Linked DNA regions of Drosophila melanogaster. Changing the gene in region 1 together with any one later gene gives a genetic interaction. Each region holds a gene or a part of one and is shown on either strand. Other genes may lie near its edges. The genes, in order: E(spl)mbeta-HLH, Su(dx) and uif.

Region 1 (5,226 bases):
TAGCTATTTGCAAGCTACAGTGTAGAATTTACGAAATATTCTAGTTATGAGCAAACCAATTTTGAGTCATCATTGGCTTTTGTTCCTGAGTTAATCAGGTATTAGATAGATATGGAAATGATACCCACTCTGAAGTCAGCAAACATCACATTTAATAACCTCTTATGAATGACGCACGTTTCGGCAATAAATGAAAACCAAAGCCGACAAGCTGAATGGGAACCCCTCTAGATCAGTTTCGCCAACGAAGCCATCCAATTAGCCCCCGGCAATGGCCAACATTGCGGCACTTAGTCAATCTTGGAGTGAACTGATCGCCTTTCAACTGGTCCATCGCAAAATAGATCACCCATTTTCAGCAGACTACCGTTGAGCCCTATAAATAGCCGTTTTGTAGTCCACAACAAAAAAAAGCACAAAATAAGCGGAGAAGCGCTAACTTGGCCGTCTCGATGCCAATGTTACGTGACTAATAACATTTTCTGAAGATTAACAGCAATCAGCGACGGCTTGAACGGTCCCAGACTCGAGACGACCTGGTAAGTAGTCATCATCATAGTTGTCCGCCAGACAAAGGCGCTGAATCCGAGGTTCCGTAATCGAACCGCACTCCGATACACATACCCCATACCCCTACCCCAATCCCAGCCCCTATCCATACCCATACAGTATTGGAGTTTTAAGACTTAAGTGCCGAGACGGTCGCGGTCGCGGGCTTAATTTGCAATGTCTGACCGCCGGTCCGTCCGCGCATGTGCCAAGCGGTCAAGCGCAGTTAAAGCTGTCAAAGCCTGAACAAAAAAAAACTAAAAAAGAGCAAAATCTTAAAAAAAAAGCGAAACACAATGACCACAATGCTGAGCCATTGACAGCGGAGCCGCGGTTCTCACACTCGGCGGGCCTCATAATAAATGCCGTTTCCTAGAACTGACTTTTTGCTTTATTTTATTATTTAATTGCGACAGCGCCGGCGCAAAACTTCCCGCAGATATACGTATGTATGTTGTATGCCCCCTGAAAGCCCCGCATACCCTCGCAATCCGAATTCTCGGGGCATAATGAGGCCAAGCCGGAGAGACCAGACGATAGTCCGAGTGTGGGAAAATATTCAGCGACTTCCGGCTGTGGGCTCTGCGATTCGGTTCACCACGGAGTTTATCTCCAATTCGTTTCTTGTTTTAAGGGGTTTCTTTTTTTTAGTTGCTTTAGTTTGCGGTTGGACGCCCACTAAATGTCTGGGAAGTCTGAGTAATCAGCTCTATGGGAAATAAGTAAATGCAGAGATTCTTGAGTTGGAATTTCATTTATTTTCATTTCTTTATGACTTTAAGAAGTGAGCAGCAGCCATCTCTATAGCCGAAATTTGAGGCTCTGCTAGAGATGATCGGTGGCTCTGCTGGGCTGCTGGGAAAGCTATTCCTGGGCAGCAATTGATGATCTCCAAGGAGTTCGGTGCGGTTTCAAGTCCAGCACCTCTTTGGGGCAACAAATTTGTAGAAGCCTTCCGCTTGAAGGCGATTCAGGTGAATATCATCCGGAGTCCAGTTGATCACCAGGGACGCCACATGGGGCCAGAGGTGGAGCTGGCCTCGCTGGGCGCCGGGCTGCAGGCTCCGCTCTCCAAGCTGTCGCATTCCGAGGGAGGTGGAGTGACCATAGCTTGATCCTCTACTGGAGCTTGAAGAGGCACTCCAATGGGCAGCGAGGGAACCACCACTTGCAGGTAGTTGAGACGATGGCCAAGGTGACTCATCAGCTGGGTGCCGAGATCCACACTCACTCCGGGTACAGCGGCCAAGGTTTTGGACACTTCATTGGCAGCATGAACGTAGCCAGCACGGAAACTCTCAGCGATGCTAAGCTTGGGATCGGCACTCGGAGACACTCCACCGGTGACGCTGGACAGACGCAGCTGCTTCTGGGCACGCAGCTTCTTCATGTGCTCCACGGTCAGCTCCAGGATGTCGGCCTTCTCCAGCCGGGTGATGTGCTCGCCCTCCTGGGTCAGGCACTCCACCATGATGTCCTTGAGCTCGTCCAGGCACTTGTTAATCCTGGCACGGCGCTTACGCTCCAGCATGGGCTTCATCACCTTGCGGTACTGATAGGTCTTGGACATCTCCATTTCCAGAACCATTTTGTTGTAGTTTGGTTTTGTTTTTTTTTTATTGGGGGTAAAGTAAACTCGCGTAATCCACAGTCGCAACGTTCCACTAGATTCGGACTCGGAGACTCTGTGTGCACGCAACGAAGTCGGAGCTTTGAATGAGTCGGCTGGCTCTGGGATCGGCTTTATATAGCCTCTGCCGCCCTGGGAACTGGACAGTGAGTGCGAGCGGGACACTCATTTTGCCTCGTGCGCGGCCTGCTGCTGTTGCCAGCGGTGGTTTCAGATGGCTTGGTGGTGCTTGGTTGTGGTAGTGGTGGTGGTGGCTTCTGTTTTTTTGTATACTTTTGCCTGTATATGTGAGGGCAATAAAATGACTTGAGCGGGCTGCGCCTTCTCGCTCTCTCTCCCTCCCTCCTTATGTATGTGCTGTGATTGTTATACCGTGGGAAACTGTTTCGCAGCCGATTTCCACGACGACGACGATGACGACGGCTGGCCTGACTTCTTCTGATTGTGCATGCTTGGGGTCTTGTACGATCCCTCGTCCCTCGTCTTTCCGTCCACCGTCTTTCTTGAGCGGACGGACGGATGGACGGGCCGCCTTTAAGAGGTCTGTGCGACTTGGGATCCCAGATACGATGCGAGGCGAGCACATGCCTTCCATCCATAACAAGATGTTTGCATTTCAATTCATTTGTATGGTCGACTATGGTCGGGGTCCGGTCTTTTGGGCTTCAATTCGGTGCGGTTGGGTTCGGTTCGGTTCGGTCTCAAGTCTTGCCATGTGCCTTCACCCTTTTGCAGTAGCTTATGGCACGCTGATAATTGTGGAATCGTCATCGGGCCAACCCGAGACGGGCCAGTGTTTCTGTTTCTTGCTTTTTTGTTAGCGCTTTATGGATCATTGATTGGATCGTGGTAGTCGTGGGTTTCGTGGGACGAGCATTACGCTTTTCGTTTACATGATTATTCTTGATTGTCGGTTGGGGATCGTTTGGGGATCAGCTGCAGTTCGGTTGGGGGTTTTGGGTTCGCTTGGGGATCTTGGGTCGTCGCTCGCTTCTATTTGTAGACAATTACCATAGCGACTTCGGGCTGGGAACCGATCGAAGTCGACGTGTGCGCGAAAGTCGGTTACAATCGTAATGGCTGTTGCCAGCACACGCTATAAATGTTATGGCTCGTGGGCTATACGCGATATATGTATATGTATGTATACACATTTAGCACATTCGGTATTTATTTTTAACGCTATATCGTCGTGATTCATCAGCTTGAGATGCTAGATCTCCATCCGCCGGCATCTGACACATCTCGGATCCTAAGCTCGGGTTTCTCAACATTTAATTAGAAGTGCCGGCGACGATGACGCTCGCTGGCGTTCATTGAAAATGACACGAGCCCGGCTCATTGGCACACAAATAAGGAATAACAAAAGCTCCGAGACGGCAGCTACTCGATCACTATGTGTATATAAATTCAAACTCAAATAAGACAAATTAAGATTGCCCCTCGACGCATTCGAAATGAGCTACAGTTAGCCGAAACAAAGCAGCAACGGTGATAAACGGGCCAAGACACAAACGGCTAACAACTTATCTAACCGAAACGTTTTGTCCGCTGGACCGGGACACTTAAACTGTTGATGTCAAAAAGCTGAATGCTCCGGAAATGCTTAATTGGATTTTATGGGTCGGCAGTGTGTCAAACTGTTCGTCAGAGGGTGGTGGTTGCATTTTTGGGGTGAGTTAGTCGCATGATATTTGCAACAACCAATTAAGAAGTAATTCATATTGGATTATTAAAGAAACAATACTATAAAAAATATGGAAAAAATATTTCAAAAATTTAAAGATTTTTAAAAACAATTTAGCTACAATTGTAGATAACACGTTAAATTAAGAAATATTTTGTAATAACAATATAATCCATTTATATAATCCATTCATTCAACTAGCTTAAATTAAAAGCTAAATAGTATAGGGGCTCCAATTGTAATTCGGAAGTTCCAATTTTCATGTAGTAGCTATAAATGCCTTTAAACGCCACTGAAAGACTTTTCTAGCTTAACAACTGAATCACTGTCGTAACTCGAATCATTAATACCAATTGTAGCAATTAGAGGAAACCCAGTGGACGAGCACGTGCCCCCAATAGAATTCATCGAGTGTGCCCCTATAGCTTGAAATGCAGAAACCTAATCTGCTGCCCATTCCGAAAATATAATATGGAATAATAAGGTAGTTATTTCACAAATTTCATCAGATTCTGCAATGCTCGTTGGGGTGTAGCGCATATGGTCAAGTCGCTTAAGACCAACTGGCCTTTATACACCCAATCATCCAAAGATACAGCTACACATACAAAAAAACATATATCGCGAAGACCTCATTTCTCTCGGTTTATTATTTCTCTTGCTTGCTTTTTTTTAAATTTTGTGCTTCATTTTTTTTTTGTCGATGGCATACGCACGCGCGAATTTCAGTGCCCCCGCGGAGTTGAGCGATCGCCCGAGGGGGTGGAGCGGTAAGGGGCGGGGCACGAGAGCGTGCAAAACTCGGAGATGGAGACCAGAGACCCAGAGCAACAACACCAAGCAGTGTGTATGGCCATAGCGTGTTGTTGAATTAATTTATATCCAACAGTGCGCTTTCAACTTTATTGCGCCGCGAAAAGCAGCCAGCCAAGTCAGCAGTCGTCGGTGGGGCTGCCCCCTCTCAAAAAGCCCCCCGCTTAAGCCCCACTTGAAAGCCCCCCGCAAACCCACAGATACACCACAGCTCACAGATACAACGCACACCAAGGCAACGCCAGACCGTGGGAAACAAACTCGTGCCAGTCGTTTCATTGCTGTCAAATAATATCTTGATGGGGATCAACTTGAAAAGATTGGTTGGGGCTTGGGCCCGAGCTCAGTCCGCCGCTCCGGGTCTCCGTGTCCGTCCCGTTGGCCCTCATTCGCTGGTTGCCGCTGTTTAGGATGCGGTCGACGCTTTTGTGTTTTTTTTTTATTTAGCTTTTCTCATTTTTTTCGTATTTTTCAGATCTCTTTTTTAATGCTTTACACATTTGTTCGTCATAGCCGCGTGTTAAGTATGTGTGTCCATGTCTCTACA
Region 2 (9,476 bases), on another chromosome or scaffold:
GTTCCCGGCACTTGTAGAAGGCGTCGCAGCGGGTTTTGTGGGGGCGTGTCTTTTCGGGGCACGGCTTGCCTGCGTTAAGCCAGTGCGGAAATGGGAAAAGGAGTAATGTTCACATTAACATGGGAAAAGCACTTCGACTTTAGCGGAGATTTCCGAATAATAAGTTTTGGTTTTCCTACATGGTTTCATTTTGTACATATTTTTAAAGCAATGGAAGGTGCTATTCACTTTCTTGTAATAATTGTAACTATTCATTTCAAGGCATTTTTTATTTTTTAGGATACTTCAGTGAATTACGTTTATGAATTCATGAACACTTTCCTTTGAAAGTAGGAAAACCAAAACTGATTTAAATCTGGCACAATACACTTGCTGGTGGAGTTTACCTTCGGAAAAGTAAAACAAGCCCGCGACCAACGCGTAAACCAGCAGCTGCCTCATCGCGTATCCTTTTCGCGTATCCTCTTCGCGTAATCCTTCCCGACCGTAGTGCGAAGTCCGTAGCCGTAAGTTCCGATCTGCTCCGTTCGAAGCCCGCGATACGAATGACTGCGGATGCGGAGCGGTCGGCACATTAAATTTTGATAATTTTCACTTTGAGCCGCGTTCTCTGAAACTCTTGACAATGTGTGAAAAAGTCCGAAAGCGAACAAACAACATGGTATACGACGAATTTTCTTGGACTCTCCGCTCTCAGTGCTCGTATTTAAAACGAGTGCTAATAATTGTTTAAACAAATAGTTTTTGTGCTACTGGAAAGATCGGAGAATCAAGGAAATTTCACTTTTTGTGCGCAGTTTGTTTGTCTAAAAGTGCAATATAACGTGAAACTGGTAAATTTAGTAACCATAAAGTGAGTAATAGAGATAAGCTAATGAAGGCTTGAGGGATTGAATAAAAAATCACAGGTGTTACGGCATCAGCAAAGGTTTTATTATTCTCATGTGGTTTCTATTTAAATCATACATTTAAATCTTCCTCCTCGGTCTGGCAAATGAACCGGAAAGTATAGTGGCATGGGTAATCGTACATTTCCCCGTTGTATAGGAACACGCAGTTGAGGGTGTCCAACTGAGAGGGTCTCCCCGAGGCCCATTTCAAAAAGGTAGTCTGCTTGCCCGTGGGCATGGACAAGAATTTTCCCTCGTGGTCCAAGTCATTGATTCCCAGCCAGTAATGCGTGTCCTCCTTGAGATTCGCCTTGATGGCGGCTAGATCTGCCTCGTCCTTAATGTCGGCCAGGTGCCCTCCCATATTGCGACAAGTTTTTGAAGCAGTGGACCAGTTCTTCTCGGATACTTTCTCTATGTAATAGTACTTTGAGCCGATTTGCTCGAATCCGAGGTATTTTATTTTGGTTTTTACTTCAAGGACTGTTTTCTCCAGGGCCGACAGTATGCCTTCCATGCAATTCAGTCGTTCAGTAAAGTTCTGTTCGTTAACATTCAGTTTTCTGCCTTGGGCATCCAGTGCGACTTCAATGCTTAGTTGCTTATTCTGCAGAGCAGTCAGTTGGCCTTCCATCGTGTACTGTCTCACCAGGACCTCGTTAGCCTTGCTTGAATTATTGGAATTCGCCAGATTTTGGGAAATGGTCAGGTGATTTAACACGGGCGTAAGTACACCCAGACAGAATCCTCCACATTGACTAGGAGGGTCCTTTAAAGGACAAATCACATCGGATTCTGCCCAAGCTCCATACAAATTTAAAGCAAGAAGACCACATAGCAAAGCACTTGCGGATTTTAGCATTGTAAGCACTTTTTACTGCCAAACACTATGTTATTCGATGAACTGAATCCGCGCTTTTATATTTATTCAATAGCACCACAAAATTAAATAACATTTAAAGAAATTCAATGAGCAACGCAACTGAGTAATGAATATTCAGGGGGCTTCTAATTTATATGGAGTAATAAGCTTAGATTCCAATAAAATCAGAGGGGCCAGAAGTACTAGCTGGTGCATAACTTTTTGGCTAATTATTTACCTTTGTTTTGTTGTGACTACGGGCAATACGTTCTTATTTTTATTCCTAATTCCTATTCGCGGTCATTTTCAAATCTGGTTGGCTACTCCATTTTGAGCTTGTACGGCAACTCTGGTTGAACATGTAAGTTGGCAATATAGCGAGTACGCCAACCCAGTCTAGCGTGCATAACAAGCCTCGCCAATTGAATTCAACCTATCGATTCGCGCACTGAGTGGCCACATCAGTTGTATCGAAAAACATCGTCCAAAGTTGCAGCTCTAGAAATTGCTGCTTGCAAGCGAAGCAAAATAACAAATAAACAATTAGTGCAGCGATATCAACTGCTCGCGATTACGTGGACCAAAGCGAGGGCGGCAGCGCCAACTAGTGCAATAATCCAGCCATCAATTTTGGGGCCCGGGAAACCCAGTTAAGAATCCCGCACACACACTCGCACATGCAGCCGCACACAGGAGACAACAACCACACACACAGGCGCAAGTTGTAGGAGCACCAGAGGCAGAAGAAGAAGCAGCAGAAGGTAAGACACAGGTAGAAAGGAAAGGAAAACGGAGGAGGAGAAACCCCCAGAAATTGCTAAAAACAAAAAGGAACGCCTCTTGCATTGGAATTCGCCAGCGGTAGAGCGGCGGCAGCGAGTGCGAGCGGGACGGAAGTCGCGACCTTTGCCTCAATTACAAGCGCACACACACAAACACACACACGCCCACCCACAGAAGGAGTGGGAGTGGGAGAGGTAGTTACCTTCTTTCTGGCGTGCGTTACATGACCACGAATAAATATATATCTACACATATATATGTGTGTACTGTAGCATAGTGGCGCTGTGTGGGTGACTAAGCCCTGCGGTCGATAATTCAAGGAAGTTCAAGTTCCCCTCCCTCCACCACCCCTCCCCATCCATCGAGCGAGAAGTGCATTCTAGGCTTATTGACAGCTGTTGCTGATTACTTCGCTTGGCTCGCGCTCCGGCTGCCCCACCAGATAGCTTCCCTTTGTTCATCGGCCCACTGATAAGCGCTCGAATGATAGGCGAAATGAGCCGGAAAGTGCGTGCTAATTGATCGGAGAACTGTGTCCCATTCAGATCCATGCAAAGCCCTTCCAAATCGATTTCAATCCGGTCACAGAATCTGATGAGTAGACACTAATGGTAAACAACAAGCTGCACTTGCTCACGTGTTCTCGGTTAATTAATGTAGTGAAAACGCTAGCAAAAGAGAAATCGCGAACGGTACACAGCGAGAAAATCATGGTAGTTATCAGCATGCCGATAAGCAAAGCGAAGAAGTCATTAAAGCATTGAGATTTCAGTTCTGACGATATATAACAAAATAACTTATTTGTGGGCTTGTGTATCGCCATATCGGCCATGTTGCTTCCTGCACACAATCAATATGCAATAGCCATTCAACAATTGAAACCGAATTCACTTGCCGTTTTCTTTTTCGCGTTGAGCCGATGACTCACATGGCAACATTATTATACAATCTATTGTGTAGCGGGGTGTTTGCTATCAAAGTTATGGATGACCAGCAATCGGTGCTGAGTGTGTACGAAAAAGTACAGGGAAACACACACGCACACAGCCGTGGCAGTCGCAAATTATGGAGAAAATTAATAGGCGATAATACGGTGCTTCCCAGTAGTTTAAAGTCCACGAAATCAAGTGCACTTATCAGTGCATTTATATATTTATTTGGGGGAATTTCTATAGTAATACAAGTTTCTTTCAATAATTTAGAACTCTAGCCTCACTTAGTCAAAGAATATATTTTGGGATCAGAAACATTACTCAGTTTTTTAATAAACTGTTTACCCAGTTTGGTCATGATTAATTTCGCTTGAAATAGCATAATTTTTATCTTTCATATATGACCGAGTTGCACTGTACATACATTAGCGCCGATTTTACAGCTCACAATTTGTTCGAGCAGTTTATTTCACCAAAAAAGTGAAGGCCTATTCGCAAACAGTTTTGTTGCCATACTGTCGTTTACACACTATATAATACACAAAGCTATACAGGCCATATCTTATCTGCGGATAGTCGCTTTCATAATGATATAGAGCTGGCATTATCTGCCTTCTAAGATCAGGTGTATAAGTAGTCGAGAGCTTAAAGCGACTAAGGAAAACTGCATAACACCTAAAAAGTGCTTAGTAAATCACTCAGGGTTCCCATAAAGGCCTGTTGGTAATCTGTAAACCTAGCAAAAGTGTGTACAACACTTTTATTCGGATAGTTATTTCCACTCTATAAAAGCTTCCTGTTCAACAGCATTGTACATTTTTGGGTATTGATAAACCATTTACGTATGTAGACCGTGTTCCGGACTTATCTTATCAGTCCAGAACACGCAATTTCCCCCCATTCGATACTTTCCACCACCAATATTCAATAGCAGCGTGCTCAATACTGGCTTTCTCTTCACTCAAAGGGAGGAATATAAGGCGGAGGAGGAGGCGGAGCACCAGGAGCACTCACACACTCAGCCACTAAATGGCCGATGGAAATGGGCTGCCAGCGGGTGCAGCTTCCGGCGGCATGGAAGCCGGGCAGACAGTGAATGGAGCGGGATCCGCCAGCCCCACGCCCACCTCCAGCTCGGGGGCGGGGGCCAGTGGGAGTGCCAATCAAGGATATCATCAATTAAGCGTGACAAGTGAGCAAACAAAAGAAAGTGAAACATTCTGTTCAATCAATAATGGCCCCAAATCCTTTCAGTCGAGGAGGCTTCGCTGCGCAACAATGGCTTCCTCAAGCCAAATCCCTACGTGGAGCTCTTGATTGACAGCAAAAGCAAGCGGAAAACGGACCTGGTGAAGAACAGCTATTTGCCCAAGTGGAACGAGGAGTTCACAGTGCTGGTGAGTAGAAACAGTAATAAAAGTCAATTATTTGTAATATCCACGGGATCTATCGTCTCTAGATTACACCCAATTCAACGCTGCACTTCAAAGTGCTGGATCACTCCAGTTTCCGTAAAGATGCCATGCTTGGAGAGCGGATCATCAACCTGGCGCACATTCTGCAGCACTACAATGGGCGGTGCGAGTTCCTTGAGCTGACCATCGACCTGTTCGTCACCAGCAAGTCGGACAATCGCCAGACGAAGAGCGGCGAACTAGTGGCCATCCTCAATGGCCTCAAACTCGATATGAGCAAGCTGCAGATTCAGCCAGTGGCTGGCCAACAGAATGGCAATCCACCCGTCCAGGCGGTCAATCCGTCGGTGGTCAGTGATGCGGCCGCCGGACGAAGTTGCATGATTTACGGTGGAGTACGGGCACGGATGCGACTACGCTCGAGCAGTGGAAATAGCAACGGCGGAGAGACCCGCTCTCCTCTGCCGAATGGAGGTGGAGATCACAGGAGATCTACGCAGGCGCCCCCGGTGTGGGAACAGCAACAGCAGCAATCCCAGAATCAACAGCAGCCCCTGAGAATGGTCAATGGCAGTGGGGCGGCCGTGCCGCAGACAGCTCCGTATCCTCAGCAGCCACCAGCTCCCGCACTAGCTCGTCCTCTAACCCAAGTGTACGGAGCGCTGCCAGAGAATACACAACCAGCTGCTGTTTATTTGCCAGCTGGAGGAGGAGCAGCAGTAGGACCACCTGGAGTAGCAGGCCCACCAATTGAACAGCCAGGAGTTGGACTGCCCGTGAGCCAAAGCACAGATCCGCAACTGCAGACACAACCAGCGGATGATGAGCCGCTGCCTGCAGGGTGGGAAATCCGTCTGGACCAGTACGGTCGCAGATACTACGTAGATCACAATACACGATCCACATACTGGGAGAAACCGACACCGCTGCCCCCGGGCTGGGAGATCAGGAAGGATGGGCGCGGTCGAGTTTACTACGTAGACCACAACACAAGAAAAACTACCTGGCAGCGGCCGAACAGTGAGCGTCTGATGCACTTCCAGCACTGGCAGGGTCAGCGGGCCCACGTCGTGTCTCAAGGCAACCAGCGATACCTGTACTCCCAGCAGCAGCAGCAACCAACGGCGGTGACAGCCCAGGTGACGCAGGACGACGAGGATGCACTGGGTCCACTACCAGATGGCTGGGAGAAGAAGGTAAAGCCGTTTGTCTAGATTAGAAAAAGTATTTATTTTAACTCGTTCCTTTATTTACTTAATCCTTACGCAGATCCAATCGGACAACAGAGTGTACTTTGTTAACCACAAGAACCGAACCACCCAGTGGGAGGATCCACGCACGCAGGGCCAGGAGGTGAGCTTGATCAACGAGGGCCCGCTTCCACCCGGCTGGGAAATCCGCTATACAGCCGCCGGTGAGCGCTTCTTCGTAGATCACAACACGAGACGAACCACCTTCGAAGATCCTCGACCCGGTGCTCCGAAGGGCGCCAAGGGAGTGTACGGAGTGCCACGCGCCTACGAACGCAGCTTCCGCTGGAAGCTGTCGCAGTTCCGGTACTTGTGCCAGAGCAACGCTTTGCCATCGCACATCAAGATCACGGTGACGCGACAAACCCTGTTCGAGGATTCATACCACCAGATCATGCGTCTGCCAGCCTACGAACTGCGAAGGCGGCTCTATATCATATTCCGCGGCGAGGAGGGACTGGATTATGGTGGTGTATCTCGCGAGTGGTTCTTCTTGCTCTCCCACGAGGTTCTGAATCCCATGTACTGCTTGTTTGAGTACGCGAACAAGAACAACTACAGCCTGCAGATAAATCCCGCCTCGTACGTGAACCCCGATCACCTGCAGTACTTCAAGTTCATCGGTCGCTTTATTGCGATGGCCCTGTATCATGGAAGGTTTATCTACAGTGGATTCACAATGCCATTTTACAAGCGCATGCTGAACAAGAAGTTGACCATCAAGGACATCGAAACGATCGATCCGGAGTTCTACAACTCACTTATCTGGGTAAAAGATAACAACATCGATGAGTGTGGATTGGAGCTCTGGTTTAGCGTGGACTTCGAAGTGCTCGGTCAGATAATCCATCATGAGTTGAAGGAGAACGGGGAAAAGGAGCGCGTCACGGAGGAGAACAAGGAGGAGTACATCACCCTCATGACGGAGTGGCGGATGACACGGTATGCATTTTACTTGATAAACGACAATATGTTGTCAATATGGGTGTCATTTTTGACTCGGTATTAACTGATTCCTATTGCAGTGGCATTGAGCAGCAGACAAAGACGTTCCTGGAAGGCTTCAATGAGGTGGTGCCCCTGGAATGGCTCAAGTACTTTGACGAGCGCGAGCTGGAGCTTATTCTGTGCGGCATGCAGGACGTGGACGTGGAGGACTGGCAGCGCAACACCATCTACAGGCACTACAACCGCAACTCCAAGCAAGTTGTCTGGTTCTGGCAGGTGGGTTCCTTTGTGTTCTTTGTGCCCTTTCCATTCGCTAATCCGGATAATTGGCTCCACAGTTTGTTCGCGAGACGGATAACGAGAAGCGAGCTCGCCTGCTGCAGTTTGTGACGGGCACGTGTCGCGTGCCGGTCGGAGGATTCGCCGAGCTGATGGGCTCCAACGGGCCGCAGCGCTTCTGCATCGAGAAGGTGGGCAAGGAGACGTGGCTGCCGCGCTCGCACACCTGCTTCAATCGATTGGACCTGCCGCCGTACAAGAGCTACGATCAGCTGGTGGAGAAGCTGACCTTTGCCATCGAGGAGACTGAGGGCTTCTGCCAGGAATGAGTGGCAGTCGATTTGTGGTCGGTTTGTTGATTAATGTTTAATTCCAGTTAAGCGCCTGCTTTACCGTCCCCTCCCCCTTTCCATTTGACGACCACGTTGCGTTAAATAGTTACTGTTATTATTATTATTACATACGTATGTATTACTACTGTATACTGTAAACACGAAACACACACTTCTGTCTGTCTATTCCTATGTTCGCAACCGATATCACACGAGATATTTGTTAAAAGTGCACGAAACTTGAGAACAATCTATGTATGAATGTATTGAGAGCCTATTTTAGAGATATTTATAATTTGTTAGGCATAATTTATCCACTGCATAACTCTCCTGTGTAAATTTAAGACAAAGTTTGATTGATTCGCTTCTGTTGATATTTCTTACGACCATCTATCTTCAAATGTAATTGTCATACATTTCTTTGGATCCTTGTTTTACGCCGATAAATAAAACCACCTACCGTTTAGCTTCAGCTAAGCCTTTAAGAACTTAAGCACCGCCATTCCCAGAATATATTCAAATTTGAACTTGGGCTTGCTTAGGGCATCCATCCGTTTGGATCACATCAAACTGTCTAGCAATCGCAACTAAATGTTACGTTTTCGCCATAAGATTGCACTCTGATTGCTTCTAGTTCAATTGTACAACGAGCCCCGGCTTGCATGTTTTTAACCACAATTGGTGAATTTATATTGATACGCTCCACTGTAAATAGTTTACTCGACCGAATTCGAATTGTTGACGAGCTGAGTTTGGTGTACTGGCAAACTGTTTTAGCTGTTCAATTGTTTATCGAGCATACACAGAACTTTAAATAGAAACTATATTTTAAATATGTATATCCACACTAACGACGCAGACATCGTGAGAAGTGAGAACTTGAAACACCGCAAACAAACAAACAAAATACGTTAGGATTTTAAACGACAAACACGAGAATACACTTAAACCAATAATGAATTCAAATAGCAATAATTGTTAACAAAACTAAAGGCGATTCGTATATTAACTACGCTACACAAAAGTGCGGACTAAGACAAATCGGATGATTAGGAGGTGCGGCGTATATAGGGTTGATTGTGTACGAGTACATATTAAATATATATATATATATTAAATAGATTTTATTTAGTTTAATGCAATGTGTACTGTATTATATAAAATAAATGCAAAATTATTTAGTGATACACGGCCGATGGATGAAATACTTGATACTTGGCGTTGCTGTGTCGACATTTGCGGTTGCTTTTCGCTTAGTCGGCTGCCAAATCGGCGATGCGGCAATAAATGTAATTATTTTAAGCGCATTTTTGGCCGCCACTTGCATTTTAATGCCCCGCAATTAAAATCTATATCACATATGTAAAAATCGCATTTCCACACCAAACGAGTCTCGTTTCGGTCAGCCAGTGAAATGGCCACTGATAACATCGCCATCATCATCCCCGTCATCATTGCCATCATAACCACCAACATCACTATCGTTATCCTGGGCTGTCTAACCTACATTTTTGCAGCGCCTCCTGGTGGGCGGGCGCTCAAATTTAACAAGCTGCTCCATTATTTATTGCGGTTAAATTGCAAAAACACAGCAGTCAAAACAGGAAAACTACACAGCGTACAGGTGGCGATGCACTGAGAGGATTTTGCTGGTAGATCCTATCAAAATGGTGCTTAAACTATTTTCTGGTTAAATTTGGGGTTCCATCCTTTTGGGGGTATACATATGTGACCATACATTTTTTAAAGTGCTTACTTGGGGGCCCCGCAGATAACACCTTCGCG
Region 3 (6,469 bases), on another chromosome or scaffold:
GGATCTCTCTTAAGACTAACGCCGACAACGCCCTGGCATTCCATTCTTTTAATGGCCAACTGACACTTGATATGCGGCAAGAGATTTGTCATTCATGTGAACCATGCGTAGGACCCATCAGTCCTAATAAACTAGACCCATAATACATTTCATTCCACTAATTTCAACTGACTTCTCGCACTTTCAGTAGGGATTTGAAGATGGGTCTTTACCTGGTATTGCTGTGAATTAAATTCTGGACGTACCCTTTGTTATTGCTCGTTTTTTAGGGTGTGTTTGTGTGTATCTACCTGCCGATACATTGGCATCAGCTGCCAATTATCAAACTTCGAGAAAAGGTCGAAGAATCTAATGCTGAACTCGTCATAGCCCAAATAATAGATGACTTTGTGGCGTTTCTTTCGGGGATTGTTTCCTGCGAAATGGTGGATTAGATCATACAAGTGAAACCGAAACCTTTGTTAGGTAAAAAATTAATTTGAATTAAATTTTCACGAGCAAGACTTTAAAAAAATCGGAGTCACAAAATAACTTTCCAACTCCATTCACGATTTTGTAGCAAAAGTTTTCCAGCGAAGCCCACACAAATCAAAAGACTTAGGCAACAAACTTGCATTCACTTCTCTTGCTTGCAATCCCTATTAAACTCTTAACACACATTTTAGCCACAACTTCCGCTTGTATGCTGTGAGCCAAATACCAATATACAAATTATGACTAAGCCATAGCGACTAAGGCATAAAGCACGCGCTAAAACAAGTTTTACTTGTTCCGATACCTTTTGCCAAGTTATGAAAATGACTTAAGTAGAACTCATCTCCGGAGAGAATCCCTAATCATGGCATGGCAATTTCCATAAAGCAACCAGTTTATTTATATTTGCCAAATAGCTTTGCCAAAAAAAATGAGCTACGATATAAAAAGCAAACACCGAATTTTTGTGGCTTGTTTACAAGTGTGATGAGGGCTTTTTGCATTTGTTCTGCTTTTCACTTTGGTCTGAGTGAAATTTTCTACTACTTCTATGGTTTGTTTCGGTTTCTGTTATTAAGCAACAACAACAACAGCGCGCCGAGTGCGTCTTGAAATTGAGGTTAACTGTTTGGGTAGCTCTCGCTTTTCGACTTTTCGATGGAGTTTTGGGGGTACGGGTATGGGTATGGGTATGGGTACGGGTATAGGGAAGCCGACTTGGCCTTTATTGAATGAATGTGACAACAAAGGCGAGTCAGACACGGCCGGCAGACAATCGAAGCATTTTTTAGGTTTTGTTTAATAGAAAGTAACAGAAATTGTTCTTATTGTTGTTCGGGTGTGCTACTTTTTGTGGATAAGTGGGAATCCATATGGGAGGCTTTATATGGAATACAGCATAACCACTCTCGATACGCCAATTGTTTGCTCAATCAATGGGAATCAATCAATTATTTAAACACAATTAAAACGAAGTTTCATTGCAAATCGTTGGATAAAACGAAAGCATGGCATTGTTTATGGCTTAATTTGTATGTAGACATATGCATAATTAATCGGATTTTTGCGCAATGACTGAAGCCAAAATAAGGCGTGTCTTGAGATTGGCTTTTAATTCATTTGGCTTACTGATTGATAGTTATGAGGTATTATAGAGTGATGGTATGCAATGATGTCAGCTTAAAAGCAGAAGAATATAACGTCATTGGTAGACTAATACTTATACTTAGTATTCAATCCAACCCGCATTTCCACTCTACACTTTTTACTTTGCCACTCTTTTCCGACTCATTCGCTGCCATTTCAATATGCAACTCACCTCTTATAAATGCAGCTTTAGCTGTATATAACCACTATATATGTTCGATACGTATCGTTCGCGACTGCTAGTATTCCAATTTATGTGGCATGTCAGCTGGTTATCCTTGAGGTCAACAAAAGCGACAATAACGACGGTTTCTTTCCCTTTCGCGACGACGGCGGTGTCAGTGTTTTTTATGGCAACTTATTGGTGCGGTTTTCTTTTTATTTATTTAAACTTTTAAATGTACAAGGCCAGTGTTGCACTGCTGGTAGATATTTAAGTTGATTAAAAGTTTTAAAATAAAAGCTGAGCTAAACGAAAACGCGTCACATAAATGTAATTTATGATCGGATAGCCTGACTATCTATAGTTTGTCTAATGGGGATGGGTCTGTTTAATTATGCATGCCGTGGCAGAGATCCGAAACAAGTAAGTCCAAGAATTCTCGTCTGAAGTCGCAGCACGTCTTCGAAATGTGTTGGGAACATTTTGGGATTGAGTTCACAAAAATGTTCGAAGAAATATTTATGTTAATTAGGTGAAAATCTGGTGAGGATAGTCCAAGAAGTATTCCTATTGAGATTTTGGGTCTCTACGATTGGACAACCAAACAAATGACTTAAGACACGAACTTTTTGTAAGTCAAAAATGTTGTTGGTTTCACTTTAACCCCAAAACTGCATTCTATATATTTTTTTCTGTTTAGTTTTTGTGGTTGTTTCTTTTGGCCATTGTGCAAAACACTTGTTGGCCAGTTTCTGGTAGCAGTTGTGGCTTCTTTTTCCGTAAGTTTGTTATTTCTACCCGGTTAATGGGAGCGTAAATGCGCAGCTGGCATGTGAAGTGAGTACCCGAGTGTGTTACTCCCGATGGATGGACTACTTACTCACACAAGTAGTCTAATGTCAGTTGGCAAAGTAAAGTGCAAAAGGCACAGACAAGTTAATGGACTGGTAAAAACCGAACGGCTGGCAAAGAAAACAGGGAGAACAAATTATACTAGAAGTTCAACAACTCGGCTAAAAACAACATAAAATTATTATAGCGGACTACTGCTGACTTCCTATCCTTCATTTGATAAAATAGCTAAAGAAATTCTCGCATTAATTTGTCGTATCTCTACCACTCTTGCATTTAATGTTAGTTATATATTCACTGATTTCGTAGTATTGTCCTCTGTGTTGCAGTTAATCTATTACACTTTTTTTTTTTTCAATTTAAAATTCCTCTTGTTTTTTGCTGCTTCGCATTTAATGGTCAGTTTCCTCATAGAGCACACACGATCCAAGCACGCGCCTCCATTAAAATGCACAGAAATCCTTTTTCGCTAGCCAGCGTACAACGAACACAGGCACAAAATCAAACACTTTGCTGGGCAAAACAATCGAATAAAATCCAGTTTCGAGGCAAATACATTCACAAAATGCACAAGCACTTATTGTTATAGGACACAAAGAGATCTGCAGATCCGGGGAGCGCTTACTGTACCATGTACTGTACCACACGAAGGCCAAACTCAGACTGAAACTTGTTCAGCAAATCAACGCGGTCTGCACCTGAAGTTTCAGTCCACGCACACACACATACACACACTCGTCTACACTCGCCCAAAGACCACAAGACACGACAGCAAAAATGGTAAGAAACTGGCGAAGAGCGGGCCAGAAAGCAGAAAAAAAGGTAGAGAAGAGAGGTAGAGGCGATCGGCAATAGGTAGAAACGTAAGACTGCGAGGCGAGGAAAATAAAACAGCTTAACGTGCCCGTTTTACAGATTTTCCTATGGCTCACTGTATATGTATATCTAGCCTCATCTCGCCAGACTTCTTAACGGCTTTCGTTCGCTCACACTTACTCACTCACTCACTCACTGCCGTACTGAAGAAAACCCAGTCGAATCGATACATACACTTGTCTAGAGTTCGGGTTCGCCGCAGCCTCTTAACGTCCACAACGCGCCACAGTCGAAGGCATACTGAAGCCCCGAAAAGCTTCGTATTTCTTAGGTTTTTTTCACATTTCTATGGTTATCGGTCGGCGAAAAAACAACCGGCATACCGATCGTTATTCGCCGCCGTCGAATTCGGCCGAAATGATGGCTCGGTAATCTCAGCCGGCACTGCGAATTCGCCGCACAAACGCTACCTAACCGATGTTGGCCAAATGCGTGGGCTACACCGCCTAGACGGGATTAGCTGCGGCGTCCTTGTTTCTTGGGAAATTTCGTTTAATTGCCGAGGACATGTGAAGTCGGAGGTGGGTTTTTACCCTCCCTTGATTTTGGGTTGCTTGCTGTTTTCAAACATTCGCACGCAACGGAAGCGGTGGCCGAACGAAAGACTCAAGCAACGAACTTGCTAAAAGGGTTGGCTAACAAAGTAGAGAGCACCATAAAAGTGGGATTGTTACACTTGGCCCTTGGAATCCTTTGGCACTTCTTGCTGCCTCTGTTTGGTTACACACTGCTCTCTCTTGTCCCATTATTTTTTTTATGAAGTCATAAACTGTGCAAAACGTGCGAAATGCTAAACGGAAATGGAATCTACAAATGATCAACAAAAACTACTCATTTAATAGTTAGGGTTATTGCAGGTACTTTTTCAAATCAAGATTATCTTCTCTTTTAAATAACTTCTAAAATTTCTCCCGCAAGTTATCCTTTTTTGTGTGTATAGTTTTCAAAGTGCTTCAAGGATATTCATTGTTTTTAGTATCGATGGCCATTAGAAGATCTTATGCCTTTTTATATTTTGTTCGTATATGTAACCTTACGTCACATCCGTCGCTAAAAGGAATTTCGCACTCGTTTCTTAGGAATTCTATAGAATTGCGCACAACAATTACTATTTATGGTGGGATTTCCCAACCCGAAGGATTTCTATTAAGGAACACTTTATCTCTGTGTGGATGAAGAGTCCAAAAAGGCAAATTGAAGGGGCTTAAGAAAAATTTTGATAACAGTGAGAAACCATCAATGAAAAGTCAGCTGGGATTCTTAGACAAAAAATCAATTCTATATTTGTGGTATGTAAATGATTATTCAATGTTAACTCAATCTTAACTAAATACCATTGTTTGCACTTGGACCTGGTTAAAACCAATTAACTTAGCCGATGAGAATAGCCGAATTTAGAGTTAATTAATTTTAGTTTATCATTCCTTTAACAAGAATGATTTATTAAGCTTTTCACTTCCTTTCTTTTCAAATTAAAAATAAATGCTTGTAAACAGATAAAACGAAAATGATGATAAATAATGCACTGCTTCCAGTAGAAATATAAAGCAGATAAATCGATCCAATTTACACATCCACTGGAATAAAACAATTTAATTATAGGGTACACGCGATCATTAGACTCCCATCTATCCATTTTCGAATAAGTTTTTACTTCCTTCTCAAAAACAGGTCATGATTATTATTTCGGTGCAATTAAAATGTGTCTTGACTTCTTAGGAAGTAGAAAAGGAAATTTAGTTTTCCTAATGCTAAAGCATTAGTTAAGGGAATATGAATAAAGGGAACTATCTAATTACATTTAAAACTTGTTTAGTTTTACAATTCCTTTTGAAAACACAAATTCTTTCCAAATGACACCTTTTATTCTACGCTCCGTTAATCAACAAACAAACACAACACTGCTGCAGGTCGAATATTAAAATAAAAGGCAATACCCTTCCTTAGACGGAAATGTAGACAATTGCAAGCCAATTGAAGAGGGACGATCAGACGGTTGACAAAATCAGTCGTTTGAGCCAGCAGAACGGAAGTTCCATATAGGGCGCACACTCAAATATTCCGATGAGGGTTTTGGATCCGCGTTTAGGTTCTGGGGCGTGCCTGTCCCAATTTGGCCGGAGAAAGTCTTGAAATTTCTATCAGAATAATGTCGTATTCCATTTCCGAACACACACTAAAATCAGTTACCGAAATAAAAACACAAAAATGCCATTTCGTGGAGACAACTTCAAGGACTTTAAAGAAATAAATAAAATTCGAAAGGAGAACAATAAATACAAGTACATCGCTGTTTTCATCACAGTTATACCCGGCATTATATTGGGCGGATTTATGGGCAAGAAATTGGCCCAATTCCTCGAAGTATTTGATCTTTATGCGCCCGATGTCTCGGAAGATGATTAATATAACAACCATGGCGCATATGGAACTTCTACATGGTGAACCAAATGAATTTGGAGCAAACTTGTGCATATCCTGTTTGGATATATGCTAATGTGCCAATCCAAACAGGCCAAACGGGATGCTAGGAAAGAAAACTCAACGCAAACAACTGCCCAGACCGGTAACCAAATTCAAAGCAGGGTAATAAGTGCACAGATCAATTGAATCATAATTAGTGCAAAGAGCTCAAAATCAAACAAGTTTTTAACAATAAATGTGCCTTTTCATTCATGTATTTAGAATGGTTTCTTTCTAGGGAAGGTGTCCATTTCATATTAAGCATCTTACCCAACGTCAGCTTTATATTTTATAATTCAAGATTTTTTAGTGTAGGTCGCGCAATTAAATAATTTTTAATTATGACACAATTACCTAGAACAAACGCGAGTTTCCAGTCTATGTAGAGCATGAATTGTAGTTTGAATTGCAGATGAGCGTTGCTCGCCCGCAGATTTGGTCATCGCCAGGCTTTAATTGCAACTAGTAAGTGTGGAAATTTGCTTCTTTAGATTT

The links.
Region 2: of E(spl)mbeta-HLH (region 1) and Su(dx), changing one enhances a phenotype caused by changing the other (phenotypic enhancement), as found in Drosophila melanogaster (one study listed by BioGRID).
Region 3: of E(spl)mbeta-HLH (region 1) and uif, changing one suppresses a phenotype caused by changing the other (phenotypic suppression), as found in Drosophila melanogaster (one study listed by BioGRID).

The regions. Positions count from the first base shown.
Region 1 is NT_033777.3:26,003,757-26,008,982, forward strand, and holds E(spl)mbeta-HLH (enhancer of split mbeta, helix-loop-helix), read right to left. Parts: upstream 2,268-5,226; 5' UTR 2,138-2,267; coding exon 1,550-2,137; 3' UTR 1,290-1,549; downstream 1-1,289.
Region 2 is NT_033779.5:2,035,496-2,044,971, forward strand, and holds Su(dx) (suppressor of deltex), read left to right. Parts: upstream 1-2,218; 5' UTR 2,219-2,729; intron 2,730-3,032; exon of another isoform or gene 3,033-3,146; intron 3,147-4,237; exon of another isoform or gene 4,238-4,309; intron 4,310-4,434; 5' UTR 4,435-4,496; coding exon 4,497-4,659; intron 4,660-4,721; coding exon 4,722-4,864; intron 4,865-4,926; coding exon 4,927-6,078; intron 6,079-6,151; coding exon 6,152-7,074; intron 7,075-7,157; coding exon 7,158-7,356; intron 7,357-7,418; coding exon 7,419-7,688; 3' UTR 7,689-8,877; downstream 8,878-9,476. Other genes in the region: CG42296 (uncharacterized protein), read right to left, coding at 1-69, 387-441; lectin-22C, read right to left, coding at 961-1,752.
Region 3 is NT_033779.5:7,006,608-7,013,076, forward strand, and holds the start of uif (uninflatable), read right to left. Parts: upstream 3,753-6,469; 5' UTR 3,686-3,752; intron 3,303-3,685; exon of another isoform or gene 3,266-3,302; intron 2,043-3,265; exon of another isoform or gene 2,040-2,042; 5' UTR 1,793-2,039; intron 1-1,792. Other genes in the region: CG43321 (uncharacterized protein), read left to right, coding at 5,720-5,917.